Schizosaccharomyces pombe: one gene and its partners. The gene in region 1 interacts genetically with each later gene. Each region holds a gene or a part of one and is shown in the gene's direction. Other genes may lie near its edges.

Region 1 (6,131 bases):
CAATTGCATTACATGCTGCTGGATAATCAGTTTTTCCATCCAGAACAAGTTTACTAGCCAATTCCATATCAGCATCCTCATGGACGTACATGGAGCATAGTCCTGCAGCATGACCTAAAACAGGAATTTTTGTGTTATCTTTTATATGGCGTACAAGATTAGTGCTGCCGCGGGGAATAACCAAATCTATGTACTCATCCAATTTTAATAATTGTGATACCTCCTCGCGACTCTGAACAAGCTGCACAGCAGCCTGTGGAACCTTACTTTTGCCCAAGGCAGAGCGAACAACATTAGAAAGTGCAGCGAAAGACTTTGCTGATTCCGTGCCTCCTTTAAGTACAACAGCATTACCAGATTTGATAGCCAGGGAAGTAATATTAATGATTACTTCAGGTCTAGCTTCAAAAATGACTAGCAATAAACCTACAGGGCAAGAGACTTTATAAAGGTCCAAACCATCGTCAAGACTACGAGCATAAGTAACACGACCAAGGGGATCAGGCAAACTTTTAACATCTAAAACACCCTGTACCATGGAATCGTATTTATCAGATGAAGACAGATCCAATCTTTTAACCATCGATGAACTTAGTTTTCCTGATTCAGCCAAGAGCTTAGCTGCTTTCATATCTTCAGCATTTGCAGCTAGAACCTCTGACTTTTTTATGCGCAGTTCTTCAACTATTTTATCCAATGCATCATCACGGTCTTCCACTGATAATGTCTGTAAAATGTTAAAAGCGTTTTTCGCTTCCTTTACATTCTCTTCAAGAGACATGCTAAACAATACTTATACAACTTTGAGTAGAGGCAATTGGGAGATTTAAATCAAGCGAATTCTTATTCTTAGAATGGCTAGCTCAAAAAGACTACTTTTTGTAGTATTTTGGTTGTTTTTTCTAATGTATGAATAATGCAAGTTCGTGATTTATTTAACACCCTTCAAGTAACAAAATCAAGCATTGTTACTTTACATTAAGCATAACTAAGATTTCTGAAAGATACGAAATCATGGAAAGTGAGAGTACTTCTGCAGTTAACTAAAAATATTTTGCAACCTCAAGAACAGTTAGTGTTATATTTTCAGTTTTTGTTTTTCCGTTACTATATATAGTAGCCTTACTTTTCACTTTTCACGTAGTGCAAGAATTATGCTTGTAAACAAAAGACTAAAAAATGAGCAACTGGGTATCTTCGGTTAAGAAATACAAAGATACTAATTTTAAAGTGTGCTTTGTATATTCCATAGAGAATTTGGATTATTACACACTTCGTATTTCTCATGAATAAATTATAGTCATATCGTAAAAGCAAAAACATTTATTAGCATGGTGTCCAGTTATTACTGAATCAATTTGATCTAGTTGTTTTTAATTCAAATTAAAGATGCTTCTAGTTGAAATGCACAGCTCAACAAACAAAATTGTTTGTTCATCTTTTCGGGAAAACATCCTTCAATATAGAGTATCGCTAACGGTTGTAATTGAATTGTTTACAATGGCTGATCAAACTGTTCATTAATATAGTACTTTTTTTTTAATTTGAACGCAATTACTTTGAATTTAATTCCATATTTGCAAAGTTCATCTTGCCTTACAGTTTCACAATTGTCCCCCAAGTCGACAATTTATAGAATCAGAAAGAAATACTTTGCTTCAAAAAAAATCGATAAATTATTAATCTGGGTGTATAGTATTTCATTTGTTTACTTTCAATAACAACATATTTAAGGCTCTGTAGCTATGCTTGATTGTACAGCAGTGAATCACATCAAGGTTTTTCCATACACTAACAGAAAATTCTTGACTACCTCTCCAAAGTCAAGTTGTACAAATCATGAGCATAAATCGCACACATTCTACTCATCAATCCCATTGCCAAGAGTTAAAGTATTTTGAGGATATGCGTTATTAAGTGTATCGTGTAAGCTACGCAGTTTGGTATCTGATTTAAGGATACGAAGAACTGCGGTGAGTTTTCCTTGTGGTCTATTATATTACAATACACAGGTTGTATAAGTAGCAACTGAGTATAGGTATTGTATTAACTGGGCTATAATGTTACCTATCACTAATATAGCTCATAACTGAACTGAGGAACGAGGTTCAGTTGTAACGCTATTTATAATATTTCTAAATAGTTGTTATCAACGGGTATCTATGTATATAGACGGATAGTTACCCGTGATTATCAATAAACGGATCTTAGCTAGTATTCCAACATATGACATATAGTGATACGCAACGTAGTGTATCATAGCGTAGTGTAGTATTGCTGACATATCGTAATGTACCCAATTACGGTAGAATGATTAAGAGAATTGTATTTAGGAATATACCGCCTTTAGTATTATGCGAAACGCTATTTTTTGTAATGAGCCATTTCTTTCGCGCACTAGCAAAATAGTCTCATATTGCTACTTCACGAATAGCAAAAATAAGTCATATAAAATAAGTAGCTCAAGGTAATTACTGTTTTCGGCATAATACTTTATACATCTTGGCAAATTTCTTATATAAACAGCGTCCCCCTCAGAGAACTTTTTCTGTTTTCTACCAAAATAATATGTAGGTAGATCGATGGATAGAAGCGATTAACGTATTTGCAAAACAGATCATCAGGATTTTTTTTAACTCCAAAATAACCATAGTGTCACTCGCTTCCTAGTACAAAGCATTACTATGGTTATGTTATTTTATTTTTTAAAAGCTCAATGATATTATCAGCAGTTGTACTTGCGATTCTTTCTCAAAAATGCATACTGAGAGGTTTGTTCATTATGGGAAAATTATGAGTTCACGAATATTTCTTTCTAGAGCGAATTTTATTATCCTCCTCACGTCGATTGAAGCTTCATAACAATTTGACTGTTACAAGCGATTGCTCCTAACAACTTCCGTGAACGAACGGGCTTTGCAAGTCTACCGACCGGCCTTAGGCTCTTCACACCTAGACTCAAAACGCTAATCTATATACATGTAGGACTTTTATTCTGCGAACTCTAGTGGGATTTACTGAACCAAATGGGGGTTTGATATTTTAGCTAGTCTATGCATTTGAATCTCTATGCAATGTTTGTCTACTCAAGTTTCCCTTTCTTTGAAGATCTTTACCCCCATTAGCGACCTTACTTCAACGTGGTCATTCTTACCTTACGCTAAATGTTTTAACGTCTACGAAAACGAGAACGACGATTGCTATTACCGCAACTTTAGATATCGTTATTTATTCTTCGAGTGGCGCGTTATCATCTTTAGCGGAATTTCAATTCCGCGAAGGAGCACGTAATATGATTACGAATACTGGTGGAGTAAGCCAACGCCAAGCTGAGGTGATGCTCGGCGTAGCTTATTGGCCTATTTTGGAGGCTCGAAGGCACGGACTAGACAATGCTTTGTAAAGCAAATTTGTTAAATCGATAAGTATAAAGACAATTTCTTCGTTTTTAGAATATAAAAAAACATTGGTCATATCGAAAAATTGATTTGAGTTGATATCGTTAAAATTTCATGTATATTCCGCGTGGAGCTATTTACTATATAAGCGATGACACGCCGCCCTATCCTCTTCCAATTCCAAACAAAATTTTCGAAATCTCCAACTTTGAAGTGTGGTTAAAATCTTATTGATTTTCCTTCAAAACACTTAATTACTCAAAACACCCCTTCTCTTGTTGTATTTTTTTAAAGTAAATTATCGTCATACAAAATGGTTAGAGCTGTAGCAGTTCTTCGTGGTGACTCTAAGGTCAGTGGTGTCGTTACTTTTGAACAAGTCGATCAAAACTCTCAAGTTTCTGTGATTGTGGATCTCGTTGGCAATGACGCTAATGCCAAGCGTGGTTTCCATATTCACCAATTCGGTGATAATACCAACGGTTGTACCTCTGCTGGTCCTCACTTTAACCCAGAGGGTAAGACTCACGGTGACCGTACCGCCGCTGTTCGTCACGTTGGTGATCTTGGTAACTTGGAAAGCGATGCTCAGGGCAACATCAAGACTACTTTCTCTGATTCTGTTATCTCATTGTTTGGTGCCAACAGCATCATTGGCCGTACCATTGTCATTCATGCCGGTGAGGATGATCTTGGTAAGGGTACTAGTGAAGAGTCTTTGAAGACTGGTAACGCTGGTGCACGTAACGCTTGTGGTGTCATTGGTATTGCCGTCTAAATTTATTGAGTTTTTACGTCTTTTTGTTCAAATGGCTGTGGGTTTAGGTGTTGGTTAGTATTGTTATCATTTAGTTGAGTGATCTCAAATTTCTTTTTTTTTATGAAAAGTTCCGTATATTATGCTTCTATAGGTTCTGTATTAAAAAACTTAATTTAATTGATGATGATAAGTACTGTAGCTTTGTGGAAGCTGTTTGTTACTATTATGTTATATGTGTAAAAAAATGTAGTGATGTATTTTTGTCCTTAAGACTCTGCGTTCGAGTTTACATAAAATTCAGTTAATTAGAAGGAATTGTTGTAACTTTGTTTCGGTATTGATAATGAAGAAGCAAAAGCAGCAACAATTTTTGATCTTTTAGTCAGAAAACTTTGTTTTGCATCGTTGAGTTCGTGCATAAAGATGATAGAAAGTGCTTTTCGTATTGTTTAAAAAAAGATATATAGAATGTTGATTAATAGATACACACATAGTAGCAATATCAACACATCTTGTTAAAATTCTAATGGGTGAAGCCTTTTTTTTTATTAATCATAATACCATCGTTTCATCTTTGTTGATTTTGTTATTACTTTTACGTATCAATGAATTTTTACGAACTAATTTCAACTAAACAATAACGACAGGCAAGTTTGTGTAAACTGAAAACATCTGCACAAGTTGTATTTTAAAATAAATTTTATTCTATAAGTCTAAAGGTTCACATCCAGTGTGAACAATTAATAAAATAAGTGGTTAAATAATAACCAACTAATTCAAAAAGATGCAAAAAAGAAAAACTCAGCAAGAATAATTTTAATAAATTGATCTCTAAGCCGGCCTAGACGATATCCAAAAAGGGTTTCAAGTTGAGAGTAGTTCACGTTCCAGACGTGTATTATGAACAAAATGTAGTTTTTTAAATAGTTTGAAAACATACAAGCAATAAGTATAGTACATCTGAAGAAATCCAAAAAAGCACCTCGCAATACAATTCCGGACTTTGGTCATGCTTAAGCAGCAACAAGTGCACCATTGGAGCAACCGTATATAGAGGAGTCATAGCACGCATTACCACAAGCTAACAATGGAGACCCATTTATAATGGGACACAGTATATTGCCATAACAAATATAACTTTGTGAATCATACCAAGCTGATCCACATTGGGCTATCACATTAGTGGATGTAGCAGATGTAGTAGTAGGTGTAGGTGTAGTAGTTGTGGTAGGTGTAGGTGTGAAAGTTGTAGTAGCTTTTGTTGTTGTAACAGTGTTTGGAGACAAAGAACCATCAGAACAAACATATTGGGAAGGATTATAGCATGCACCATTACAACTCAAGTAATCCACTCCGTCTATTATAGGACATAACTGATCATTGTCACAATAATAAGAGGATGCGTCGTAGTAGTTAGAGCCACATAGTTGCATGCCAGTTGACTGTGCGGTAGTAGTTGTTGAAGTTGTAGTAGGTGTGGGTGTTATTGAGGAAGTAGTTGTGGGAGTAGGCGTAATGGAGGAAGTGGTCGATGAAGATTGAACAGGGCCCAAAGCTCCATTGTCGCAGCCATATTGCGAAGGGTTATAGCAAGCTCCGTTGCAGTTTTGATATGATACACCATTAACAATAGGGCAGAGTACAGTTCCGTCGCATACATACAAACTTGCATCAAACGTAGCACCATTACAAGTACCAGAGATGCTTGTAGTAGTAGGAGTCGAAGTATAGGATATAGGTAGTGTACAACTGGCAGTTGCAGTAGTAGAGGTTGTCGTAACACTTCCGGTACTCGTAGAGGTCGTGGTGGTAGAAGAAGAGCTAACAGGATAATAAACGGCATCATTAGCCCATAAGCCAGCGGCATAAGCCAAATACCAGGCACGAGAGGCCCCGTCATCTAAGTAATCGGTATTAAAATCAGAACTGGAGAAATATTCATAACTTTCTTCAGGTTCAGCAATAGCTAGATT
Region 2 (7,162 bases), on another chromosome or scaffold:
AATAGCCTAAAAATCCACGCGTTCTAAGCATCCAACAAAAAGAGATGGCTCTTGTTAAGGAATGAAATTGAATCATTGTGCTGTCAATATCAATTTACGCACAAGTTAGCATTAATTAGGCACTGCGTACCAATACGCTATAATAGCGATGCCTTGCTTCGTTTTATCATACTTTGAAAAGTATGCAACACTAGTTATTAGACAGTGGGCTACACTAAAGACCGCTATAATGTTTTTGCATCGCGAGTTACTATTATGTTACATGTTTTATTTACTCTACTAGTTTTGCATGAATAGTTTATCCAAGATATTAAATTACCAATTATAATAAGATATTTACCAGTAACAATAATACTGATTTTGAATACTATAACTTGAAAATTGAATTGAGGAGCGAGGTTCAGCCATGAGCTATATCAGCGTTAGGTTACAAACAATACCGACATCAATAACTCAGGTTACTATGTATTCATACATCTAGTAATACAACAGATCATCATTAGAGCTCACCGCAATCCTACTTATAATTGAAGCAGATATCAAACTGTACATTTAAACAATTGTATAATTCATTAAATCATACCTTATTGGCAATTTACAACGAGACTGTAGAACTCCACAACAGGTTTGGAGCGAGTTAGTTCTGTTGAACTGTATTTTATACTATTTCCTATTTGTTGGTCGAGCTCAATAGATTTTGGTAGGTTTACTATATCTTTTTAGGTATCAGTTGTAACTACCATTCAATACTTTGTAATTCAAAAATCATTATGTTTATTTTTATAGAAATTAATATGTGCCGCTGTTCAACATCACCATTTTCTTGTTTCAGATTTAAAGAATTAATTATCCTGTTCTCCACGGAAGCTCTGAGTTTTAAGTCTGCACGTACTCATTGCCGATATTTATTTCAACTCAATAGGTATCATTACGGTTTGGAGAACCTAAAAAATCTTAAATTATGAATTCCAACGTAAATATATGAGGAAAATAAAGATGTGCCATGCTTTACATATTTTGAGCGAATCGACCAGCTATAAACAGTACTCATCAACACATTAGTGGTGAGCATACCGTACATGGAAAAGCAAAACATCCTTTTTTAATAATACAATTTTTTCTTATTAACTAAAATCCTTACCCGATTAGGTGGGTGTTGTTCATCCATTATCTGTGCTACATTTAGAGAGAGACCTCTTTCCAAATCGATTACACTTTCATTTTCTATGTTTACACATCACTCATTTGTAAATAGACCTTCTAACTGGACAATAAAATTTTCTCAGTTTTTAAATTAAAGAAATGGAGAGTATTATACAATATTGCATGAATTGAAAACATTGAAGCGAAAGAGCGTGAACAAGGATTTCATCCTAACTCGTAAAGCAAATGTTCATTCTGCCTCGTTTGACATATCAGACGGAAGTCAAATCAAAGTGGATTTAAATTATAAAATAACTTGAAGTTTCATTTTATCATGTTTGCAGATTTTATTTACATTTCATCTCCACATTCCAATTGTATGCACATATGCAATACCCACTGTTACTGGTTCCTTTCTTAACGAAAATTATCGCCGCATACTAAAAAATATTTAATTTGTTTATTGTGACTGTAAATTAATTTGTGTTTTTAGATCTTTTATCGGGTTTCTTCAGGACGGGCTTGATGACACTTCGATTGTTTACAGAATATATCTATAGTTAAATTATTTAAACAACATTAGCAAGTCCAACCTATAATAAGGAAAATAAGCTCACTCTGGAAGTTCTACTGGTTTGGCCGATAATGTTTTTAGCAACATGTAACAGCGTTTACTATTGAATTTGTTTAAATTTCTTAAATACCATTTTGATCATAGCAATTCTGTTCGGTTGCTTATAATATTGCTCTAAATTATTTTTTATTTCACTTACTTCTTCTGCGTTTTATTTCTTGCTGACTGTAAATATGGTTAAATTGTTTTCAAAAACAAAGTATCAAATTTTTTTTTGTGCTTCTTCAGCGGACAAATGAATAGTAAAAACTGAAAGCGTGCTTTTTTGTTGGTAATAATGTTTGATTTACTCTTTTTTTTTTTTTTTTTTTTTTTTTTTTTTTGGCTCAGACCTTCTTGCTCATAATGATCTGGGCCATAGTACATCAATTTTCGAAGACAGTAATAAAGCAATTAAAAAAAAAAATTTTCGCCATTGATTCAAACTCACATCAGTTATCAATTAAAAAATTTCTTTACAGTTAATTTCTGCTATATTATTTTATTGAACCTTTTTAAATTCATTCAACCATTACGGAAGACACTAAATTTCCTTAAAGAATGAGTTCTGAGCTAAAGGATCAGTGGCCAGCTTTAAGAATAAGATATATTACGGCAAAGTTTCAGAATTATCTAAATATAATTTAATATAAATACATTTAACGATTATATTATGTATAGTATTATAATCCAATTAATTAATGGTAGCATATAATGACACGCAAAAGGGCTTAGTGAAGTCTTGCTGCTGACAATAAAGTGCATATAATGTTAGCTTCGCAGTTTGGTATCTGATTTAAGGATACATAGAACTGCGGTGAGTTTTCCTTGTGATCTATTATATTACAATACACAGGTTGTATGAGTAGCAACTGAGTATAGGTATTGTATTAACTAGGTTATAATGTTACCTATCACTAATATATCTTATAACTGAACTGAGGGACGAGGTTCAGTTGTTCTCAATTTATAATATTTGAAGTAGTAAGAATTATATCTGATAGTTATCTTATCATGAATGATATTATATCTCCATCTTGATGACTTATCATGTAATAGTTGATAGAGCAAATAGAACATTGTGAACATGTGACATATAGTGATATGCAACGTGGAGTATCATTGCGTAGTGTAGTATTGCTGACAATAACGAACTAAACCAGTATATTGTTATCCTACGCTAGCACCAGACTCAGCTGAGTTTACCAAGTAGGGCGATGCGATGAAGCAAAAGCATTCATTGCTTTAACCATGATAGAATGTCGCTTGAATTACCAGGAAACTACCGACTTTCCAGGCTTAAATCAATACAAATAAGAAATGTTCAAGAAATTCAAAATCATAGCAAATTTGCGATCAATACGACGGAAAATTTGTGGAAACGAGATGTGCAGTTAAAACGTGCAATTTCCGAAGGAACTATTCGTATTTTTATATCATTGCATGTGCAGAGTAAGAAATTGCCTGTTTATATTACTGAAACGAGCGGAAATGCTGTATGTGAACATGCTTTGATAAACAAAAGTATCTGAATGGTATCATTATATCTAGGTTATTTGCTTGATTGAAAAGGTTAATCAGTTTGTTTATACAAGTGATTTGCCAAAATTTCGTTGCTCAAATCCTTGAAACAAAGCCCTCAATTGATAGTTTATACCTTGTATCTCTTTTACCCATATACAAATTTTGTATGTATTTATGTTCTTTGTGTCTAACCTCTCATTAGAATCACATCTTTTACGTCGATGAAAAAGTAACCGAAAAGCTTCAAAAATACCGTCACGAAGAGTACTTTATCGTGAGGACTTGGTGCTCATCAAGTAGTCATGCCTTCAAGCTACATAAAGAATGGAAAATTTTGAGATATGACAGTAATTTTCGTTATATTGGTAATGATGTACGGTTGAATATTTTTGGTTTACCTTATGTTTCCCTTGTGTTGACTAACATATTATTTGTAGCCTGTTTTTGCAGTTTGTCATATTCGAAACGGTCTTTTATGTGAATTTAATGATGGCGTTTACATCTACACAACATCCCAGTCTTCGGATATTATGAGACAGACCTCCTTTCCAAAAAGTGCCTCCACATATTCTATAGACAGGCGGAAGGATGGTTACACTATTCAGAAAATCACTCGAATTTTGAAACTGGCTGAATGCATAGATGAAATGCACATTGCTAAACATGAAATTCGAGCTCATTTTCAGGAGGAGGAGTTTCAGCAGATACGTTTGATGCACAAAAGGATGTTACTTCGGGATGAAAAAATCGATGAACTGGCTAAATTAGAACATCTTTGGCAAAAACAAATTAATAGCATCACTCAGATGAGGACGAAATTTGACAAGACGAAAAGCTGGTTATCCTCAAAAAGGAACACTTTGAACAAATCCAAAGAATCCCTTCAAAAAGATGAAGCTGAGTATGTGGAACTTGCCAATTCTTTAAAAACAAAAGTAGAGACCAATATAGAGATTCGAATCCTTATGGCACATGCTATTCGTATGCACGTTTCCCATCTTTCCAAAATTTACCCAATCCAACCATCGCCTGGCAATCATGACGAGTTTACAATTCGCAATCTCCGCCTATCTTTTGAGCCAGATAAAATTAATAATGTGGAAATGGCTGCTTCCATAGGATTTTTGGCGCATTTACTTCAAACTCTTTCAAAGTATCTCGAAAAAGAACTCGCTTATCCAATTCTTTGCGCATCTTCGAGATCCTCCATCCTGGATACATTGACACCCGACATCCCCACGCGTATCTTTCCCCTTTATCCAGCAACTCGACCAATTGAGCTTTTTGAACATGCCATTTATCTTCTCAACCAGGATGTAAATGATTTTTTAGAAACTTTTGGATTACCTATTGACCAATCCATGGACATACTCAGGAACTTTAAAAAACTGCTCCAATTTATTTTATCAGGACAACATCTATCTTTTGTACAAGTAACGTCTACCGCTCCTTAACAATTCCATAAGCTTAGGCACCATAAGCCTAAATTATCGTTAATTGCAAAACTACGCATAACTTGTCTATCGTTTAATTGTATCTTTTCACCCTAGTTTACTCTCAACAATCAATTTCGTTTTCGTATTCTTTGTTGGAAATTCATATACCCATTTCACGGTTTAATTTTAATCATCTTAATGAAGAGTTTTTATGGACATTTGCCGAAGGCATATTACTCATTGTCATTGCGACAACTACTATACAATGCATTTACGTTTAAAATATAAAAATAAACAGATAATGATGAATGTAGATATTATAAATAGTTCCCTTAAATTAATAAAACTTGTGAATTAAAAAATAAAAAGAGCCATGTTCATTTTTTGATAGTTATGTGATGGTGATCGAGCTCTTCCGGTTACATCCGACCCACATATTCTAGGTATAGGCAGGCGGAGCGGGTCCTACACTTTCAAAAACTGGCGGGCATTCTTCATCCCAACTAATACCTAAACCAGCTGGCGTGGTAAGTGGCTGAACGACTGATACTCGTAAGATACGGGCATTGCCCATATTGTTTCCCGCAACGTTCTTTTTTCTATTAACAATGGTCTCAAAAATTAAATGATGAGAGACTTTTAAGGAAAAAGGGGCAGGAATTTCCACGTCACAGCTTGGCTCTCTTAAAGAAGATGTGTTAATTTGAGTAGATAGAAACATCTGATTATCAATGAACTTCCATCCCGATTGTAAATCTTGTGTACTCAAAATTCTTTTTTCTTCAATAGGTCGAGGTTTTACCAAATCACGATGGCGTTCACATGGTTGACAACTAAACTGCATATGCTCCTCCAATCTCCAAGTAACTCTATTGATCTTCCAATCGTTGCCGTCATTTTGGGCAAAACCAGTCATGGTAACTTCCATAAGCGCAGCTCCATGAGGATGCAAGGTACTGGGCAAAGTAATGTTTGCAACAAGATTCGTAGGGGGAAAGATACGTTTATGGATGGTATCAGGCGAAGGAATGGCAGCTCGCTTTAGTTGGAGAGGAAACTTAAGAACTTCGGGCTTCGAGGGAGAAATTCCGCCTTCAGGAGTACCATAGCATAACGTAGCTTCTAAATAATACTCAAGCTTGATGTATCTGTTAGAAACCGAAGCAGGAAGCGAACCAGGGAAAAGCCAACTAAAAGGCCAATGCTGAGTACCAGGTCTATATGTGGTATTTGCAGCTAAATCCCAAGTCTGTAAAACCTCTTTTGAACCCGCACAAGCAGAACAATGAGAGATTGCAGGATGAAGAACGGTGATCCTTTTTATGAGTTGCAGCTTGAGGGTATGTACTTTAATAAAAGGTTGATGTAAAATCGTCAGTTTTAAAATGCCAGACGCAAGTGCACCACTAGACGTTTCCGGCGAGCCAAGGAATACCAGCGGCGGTGATTCCATACGTATATCTAACGTACAGCGAGCAGGGTCTTTTGGCGTGGTTGAACGAGGTAGTGCAAGTTTTAATGGCATAGTAATAAGAAAATCTAAGCGTTTGTCGGTAAAACAAAGGAATGGAAAAAAAAATAGAAATGGAAAATTTTTTAAAAAAAATTACCAGTATGAAATGATAAACCAGGAATAAAATAATGTGTGTAAAAATGCCAAGTACACCTAAAAAAACCAAACCCTACAGTGGAAGAACACTGCTAAATTGAACTTAAAAAATGTGAAAAGGAAAAACCCACCAGGAAATTAAAGAGAAGAAAGAATTAACGAAGTATGGAAATAAGAAAAAAAGTCGTTAAACCAAACAACCAACGACTTTTTTCTTTCGCCTATTATCCAAATTTTTTTGAAGATGATTTATACCTATTCTTCTTCCGTAGAAAGTAATAGTAATCCAATTGATGAGAAAGAAGTAAACCGACTTGAATTTAACACAGGGATGTAAGGTAACAAAAAAGCTGAACAAAGGAACTTTATGAGTTTGCTTTATGTCTCCCTTAGTGATGATGTTTTTGTTTTAATAATTCAAAATCTCATGTGAATTATCAACCCAAAAATGTGTAAGAACAAGCTAATTAAAAAAAAATAGCAGACTGTCAATTAAAGTAGAGCACACACCTTCTTAAGAGGAGCTGAAAAAATGAAAAGAAACCCAAGGCTAGAGAAAATGAGAGGTTCGATGGGCAGTTTATATTCGCAAGATTCGCAATAGATCAGCAGTCCACGCAAACCAAGTCGATTGAACACCAAAATCTAGAGAAAAAGCAAGACAAAACTGACGAGCGATTTCACTAGAAATCGATCTCTTAAAGCCCTTTTGATTTCAAGAATCACTAGAAAATACTTGGTTCACGGTGAATGTTAAAAACATGAAGAGATGGGATGATTGCTCAAAATTTATTTTAATGAGGCGCATAGAAGTTACGGTATCAAGATTTTGCGTCA
Region 3 (6,128 bases), on another chromosome or scaffold:
CTTATTTTAAGGTCACCTCTAAAGATCTTGGTTTCGTAGACCAAGTATCCGAAGAATATGAATTTTATACCTATCCAAAGAAAGCATCAGAAGTCGAGTCGGTTACTGAAACATTTCAGAGTAATCGTTCAAGTCTTGTTCCAACTTATCCTGTAGACGAAAATGCCAACAAACTGCCCCCAAAGGTATCCATTGCGTTCATATTGATTAACAGCTTAATGTCCGATATGTCCTTGGCTGTGGCCTTACCCACGTCGGCCTCTTACACTCAAAGCCTTGGTGGTACAAATGCATTTTCAGGTTTGGTAATTGGGATTCCCACTTTAATTTCGTTAATATTTCTTTATCCCATGCTTTGCTTTGCAAACCCAAAGTCGGCTAACGGTTATACTCTGTACTTCCGACCAATGGTAGTATCTTCGTTTGCTCACATTTTTGGCCATTTACTTTATTGCATGGCATATCGTGCCAATTGGATCTATCTAATTCTAATCGGGCGAATGCTGAACGGTATTGGGTTCACTACCTTCTTATATCACAAAAAATATACAACAGATAAGTTGCTCGTCGGACAAAATCGTCGAACATTCTTGGCAACAATGAACATCTTAGCGCAGACCTTAGGATTCATGGCAGGTCCCTTCCTTGGAGGTATATTAGCAAAAGCGACAATTCATTCAAAGAACGCTGTTTGGAATCAGTACACAGTGGCATCATGGGTCATGTTGTTTATGTGGTTTTTTTATATGCTAACTATCATATTCTTCTTCAAAGAGGTAACGGCTGACAAAAGCGAAAAAGTTTCACAACAAAAAGAAAATGATGATGAGGACAGGCCAAAGTTGAGTTGGAAACATAAATTTTTGCTTTTCTTTTTAGCGGAAGTGGCATTTATAGCATACTTTACCGTGAACGGCTACCAAGCTAGTATTTCCATTTACACAGGAAAACTTTATAATTACGATGCTTTTCAATCAGGAAATTTTATAGCATTATCCGCATTAATCGTGGCACCTTTTATTCTAGCGAGTTCATTTTTGTCTCGATGGCTCGAAGACCGACACATCATGTTGGGAGGCCTATTCTTGGGAATTTTGGCAGTAGCCATTCATCTAGTATTAGATGCAGTTCACAAGCTACCCATGCAAGTTTATTTTTTCTTGTATTCGTTGATGATTTATGGCTATAGCATTGGATCTGCGCCTCTAATTTCCCTTTCGTCCAAACAGTTGCATCCAAGGCATCATAATACCGCCAGCATAGTCGTACAAGTAGGAGTGTCTTTGTCCAATACTTTTGGCTCCATTTGTGGTGGTGCGATTTATAATATAACCACAGTTGGTTTCATTTCGCTTTGCCTAGGATTAGCAGCAGTTGTATACATGCAATTAATCTTTATGTGGGGATCCTTGAAATGCAAAACACATTAAGCAAAGATCCTAGCCATGATTATAAATGCTGGTGAGCGATCGACAATTTTTATTTAGAAAAGCTAATTTTTTTTTTTTTTGGAAATCGGCTTAATAACCTATGAAACCTTGAAACTTTAATGAATACCAAGAAGCTATTTTTGATTTTTAATTCTCCCTATTTGTTTGTTATTTGGTATTGAACAAATATTCAAATGAGATTCCATCGGAATGTATTTGACATATGATTTTTATCCATTTAATGTTGGGCTTTCCAATCCCATAGGACTAATATCTAGAAAAATACAATTTAAAAAATCTATGTAAAACAAATTTATGCAAAAAAATTGAAATATTAAAAAAACCAGTCTTTTTATGCTTAATATGATTCAATGAGTTTAATCTTTAAAAAATCTAAATTAATAAAAAATTCATTTTCATATTTCACTACAATTCTTATCGTATGTATTTTTTTACTAGGTAATAGTTTATATTATTATCATTATTATTATTATTTTTTTTTTATTAATGATTAAACGTACAAAACCTTTGAATTTTCCGTTAATCGTTCTTTGGAAAAAGAAAATGAGATTCTAAACATCTAACTCCGTTACTTGCATCATGAGAAAGGGAGAAGAACAAAATGTTAGCTACAATGAAAAAGGATTACTTTCGAAAATTCACTATTCCACATCCGTTTTCCCAAATCCATCCTTTGCTACTGATATACTTCATTATTATTGCACTGATGTATTTGTATATAATAACTCTTAGGAAACCCAAATTCATCCTACCTTCTAGTTCGGTAAATCGTATAAACATAGACACTTAGCTTACCATTAATGTCTTTTGTGATGTAATAGTCCTTGTTAAAACTTATAGCGATGCAGTACGTACGATATTTTGCATCTTTACTGTACCTTAAATAATTGCTGAATAGACACGTGGAATGTGTTTGTATACGTACTTATCAATTACCAGTCAGATGGTAGAAGCGGTAAAATCGTGATATTTGAGTATTAGCTATAAAATAAATTTTTCACAACGTTTCAATATATTTTAATACTCTTTTTAAAATTTTTTAGAGAGATTTTGACGAGCAATTGATGCGTGAGACGCGTTTGTCAATTTTTCCACCTTTCTCGCTCTATTCATAGCACTGGCTAATTGTGTCGCAATACCACGGAAAATTGATTTGACGAACACAAGTGTGGTCTTTGTGTTAACATTTCTAATTCGTAAATGAATTCGAGGACTCAAAAATTTGCGGTTCGTTATACCACGTCGGGGTTTGCGCCATTTATCTGTTCATAGATACCGCAAAGCAAATCGTGAGCAATAAATTTTGAAAAGGTATCTACAGTTCCGAGAGGTGCAGGAAGTGATGAATCGAATTTGATGAAAATTTCTCACCTATTTTAGAGGGGAAACTACAGTGACTTTCTTGAAAGCAATTAAACAACCTTGAAAATGAATCAAACTTTTTTCTTAACGTTACTGCTGATATTGATGTGAAAATTAAACAAGAAAAACATCATCACTTCGTTAAAACCTTAAAAATTCAAAATTTCAAAGGAATAATTAACACCCGGGCATGCATACTACCCGATAACGTAATCTTCTCTATTGCCATTTTCTTTTTCTTTTTAATAAAAATGGCTGTCTAGTAAACACTTTGTCTCAGCGTTTCTTGCCTTTTTACAACAGTCAAATACCGAATATCGCACGAACCATTGAAAACGCAGCTGTGCGCGGTCTCAGTGCCGGTTGGGATTTTCCACCACTCGCAGCCCACAAAGCTCTTCATACAAAGATGAAGAACAGTAAAGAAAAAAAATCTTCCATCCCGACAAATTTGGTGATTTGACGTCACCAAAAGATTCGTTTTTGTAGAAAGGTATATATATTAACGACATGTGCCCATTTGTCTTGATAATACTATCTTTAAACTTGAACGACATTTTTTGAATACGCCGTTACTCCTAAAGATTTTATACCACTTGCTTTAACTTTTACACAAATTTATTACTACTATTAAAAATGGTTGCTGTCGGATCTACTTTGCCTAAAGTTACTCTTTGGGAAAACAAGCCCGAAGAGGTTGTTGAATTCCCTTCTCAAGGCAAATTCATCATTGTCGGTGTTCCCGGCGCTTTCACTCCTCCTTGTTCTTCTCAAGTTCCTGGCTATATTGCAAATGAGAAGCAATTTGCTGCCAAGGGCATCAGCGGAATCTATGTCGTTGCCGTAAATGACGTTTTCGTCACCAAGGCTTGGAAGAAGTCTTTCGACGGTGGTGAGCAAAGTGGTGTTCACTTTGTCGCCGACTGGAACGGAGAGTTTACCAAGGCCTTTGATGCTGGCTTCGACGCTAGCGGTCTTTTGGGCCCTCTTCGCTCCAAGCGTTATGCCGCTGTTGTCGAGAATGGCAAGGTTGTCAAGGTTTTCATTGAGAACGAGGTCACCGATGTTGATATTTCCTCCGCTGACAAGGTCCTTAGCTCTCTTTAAATCTGATGAACTGTTGTACTAATTGTTTTGATGGGAATGTTTTTTTCCTTTAATGAACGAAACTTAGAATCAAAAAGATAAGCTCCTTATTTAAGGGCGTTTGAAATGATGGAGATAAAGCACTCCATATTTGAGTTTTTTTTGTCATTGTGATGATATATGTTTAGATTTATGAAATTTTATACACAATTATCTTAACAACTCATTGTTTGAGTACTAGTACAATTCTTTATAAGAAAGTAGATATGCTTAAAAAATTAATGTCAAGTAAAACGTTGAATCGATTACAATAAGTTTTCGTAACACGATTGAAAATCGGTAGAAGTTGAAATGGATATTCTAAGTGGTGGTATCAAAATAATGACTAGAAAGATGTAAGCACACCTTCAATGTATCATAATCAATGTCAGATGAATTTGGGTAATGAAAAACGTTGGCCACAGTTGGGGGCGTCTTCCTCTAGATGCTCGTCTTCTACAACCGTTCTTTACCTCAACCTTTAAATTTTCAAAATCTCCTTTTTAATAACAGTTTTCATTTTTGGGTTCTTTTTACTCATTTGTATTTCATCTTCGATGAAAATAGCTAATGTCTTAACTTTATCGTTTGCTGCAATTATTGCTGCTTCTTCCCTGGCGGTTGTAGTTAGTCCTATCACAGACAATTCCAGGGAGACAGCTTCATCCTCCATTTCTCAAAGTCCTCCTAGTCAATGGTCAAAAAAACAGTTAATTGAGTATTGTAAAAAAAATTCACTTAAAACTAGCGGATCTCATGAAGAATTGGTTATCCGTGTGCAAAATCATCTTCGTACCGCCTCTAAAAAAGTTGATGCCAGACCGTAATGACAAAACAGCTTGTATAGATTTTAATATGTTTTCGATGCTTACATAATGAGTGAGTGTCATTATTGAGGAATGCCATGTCAGATTTGACACAACTCAGAACTTATTAACTTTTTATGATTGGAACTTTTGTTTTGCCCAAGGAATTTTTAATGGAAGAAGTTGTTTTATAAATGATATTGAATTTATATCCACTCTTTTTAGCGCATTTGCATCTCTACTTTAGGTTCTTCTTTGACTAGATTCTAGGATGCGTATTGGATATACTGGTCTTTGAATCATTGTCGAAAAAAAAATTCATGGTTGTACCCATGAGCAAACTGCTTTTGTGGTTATCCATGTGCTTCTTTTGTTCAGCATCTATCTTCTTAATCGCATGGAAGATTTGATTTAAACCAAAAGAAATATTGTTAAACTTTGACAGAAGCTTTAAATTTTGATTCCATACATTAAATGGATAAAACTCCTGAAGCTTAGCTACAAATCCCACTGGCTATATGTATGCATTTGTGTTAAAAAAGTTTGTATAGATTATTTAATCTACTCAGCATTCTTTCTCTAAATAGGAATTTGTTACTTAATGGAGAAAAAAATGTTTCGATTTACCTAGTGTATTTGTTTGTATACTCACGTTTAATTTCAAACATCCATTCTATCTTGTGTAATTTTTGGCATGGTGAAAAAGATAATCAGCCTTATAATCTTTACAAAAGTAAGAAATTCTGTAAATAAGCCTTAATGCCCTTGCTTTAAATTAAAATGGTTCTTTTTCATGATAATGTTTGCACTTTGTGAATATATTTTAGATAGTTCTGTGAGGTATAATTAAGATGTTTTAGAGACTTATACAATTTTGTCTTTATAAATTCTTAATTGATTTTACCATCCCAGTTTAACTATGCTTCGTCGGCATCTCTGCACATGTCGTGTTTTCTTACCGTATTGTCCTACCAAGAACCTCTTTTTTGCTTGGATCGAAATTAAAGGTTTAAAAGCAAAGTTATGGATGCTAGAGTATTTCAAAGCTATTCAGCTAGAGCTGAGGGGATGAAAAATCCCATTGCCAAGGAATTGTTGGCTTTGATGGAAGAAAAGCAAAGCAACTTGTCAGTCGCGGTCGATTTGACGAAGAAATCCGAAATCTTAGAATTGGTAGATAAAATTGGACCCTATGTCTGTGTTATCAAGACACATATTGACGTTGTCGAGGATTTCGACCAGGATATGGTAGAAAAACTGGTGGCCTTAGGTAAAAAGCATCGTTTTCTTATCTTTGAGGATCGCAAATTCGCAGACATTGGAAATACCGTCAAGCTACAATATGCATCTGGTGTGTACAAAATTGCTTCTTGGGCTCATATCA

What was found.
Region 2: mutations in sod1 (region 1) and vps38 together harm fitness less than expected from each alone (positive genetic interaction), as found in Schizosaccharomyces pombe (one large-scale study listed by BioGRID).
Region 3: mutations in sod1 (region 1) and pmp20 together harm fitness less than expected from each alone (positive genetic interaction), as found in Schizosaccharomyces pombe (one large-scale study listed by BioGRID).

Annotation. Positions count from the first base shown.
Region 1 is NC_003424.3:1,001,044-1,007,174, reverse strand, and holds sod1 (superoxide dismutase Sod1), read left to right. Parts: upstream 1-3,574; 5' UTR 3,575-3,711; coding exon 3,712-4,176; 3' UTR 4,177-4,337; downstream 4,338-6,131. Other genes in the region: gamma-glutamyl phosphate reductase Pro1, read right to left, coding at 1-781; cell septum surface endo-1,3-beta-glucanase Eng1, read right to left, coding at 5,172-6,131. UniProt on the Schizosaccharomyces pombe protein: Destroys radicals which are normally produced within the cells and which are toxic to biological systems.
Region 2 is NC_003423.3:1,803,247-1,810,408, forward strand, and holds vps38 (phophatidylinositol 3-kinase complex subunit Vps38), read left to right. Parts: upstream 1-2,984; 5' UTR 2,985-3,015; coding exon 3,016-3,252; intron 3,253-3,482; coding exon 3,483-3,653; intron 3,654-3,717; coding exon 3,718-4,734; 3' UTR 4,735-5,071; downstream 5,072-7,162. Other genes in the region: arrestin-related substrate adaptor Any1, read right to left, coding at 5,156-6,241. UniProt on the Schizosaccharomyces pombe protein: Involved in endosome-to-Golgi retrograde transport as part of the vps34 PI3-kinase complex II. Mediates the interaction between atg6 and the pik3-ppk19 core complex, leading to the recruitment of atg6 to the membrane.
Region 3 is NC_003421.2:116,215-122,342, reverse strand, and holds pmp20 (thioredoxin-related chaperone Pmp20), read left to right. Parts: upstream 1-3,343; 5' UTR 3,344-3,449; coding exon 3,450-3,920; 3' UTR 3,921-4,121; downstream 4,122-6,128. Other genes in the region: SPOM_SPCC330.07C (transporter), read left to right, coding at 1-1,430; protein new25, read left to right, coding at 4,496-4,765; orotidine 5'-phosphate decarboxylase Ura4, read left to right, coding at 5,768-6,128. UniProt on the Schizosaccharomyces pombe protein: May act as a chaperone rather than a peroxidase. Has no thioredoxin-dependent peroxidase activity. Shows weak chaperone activity.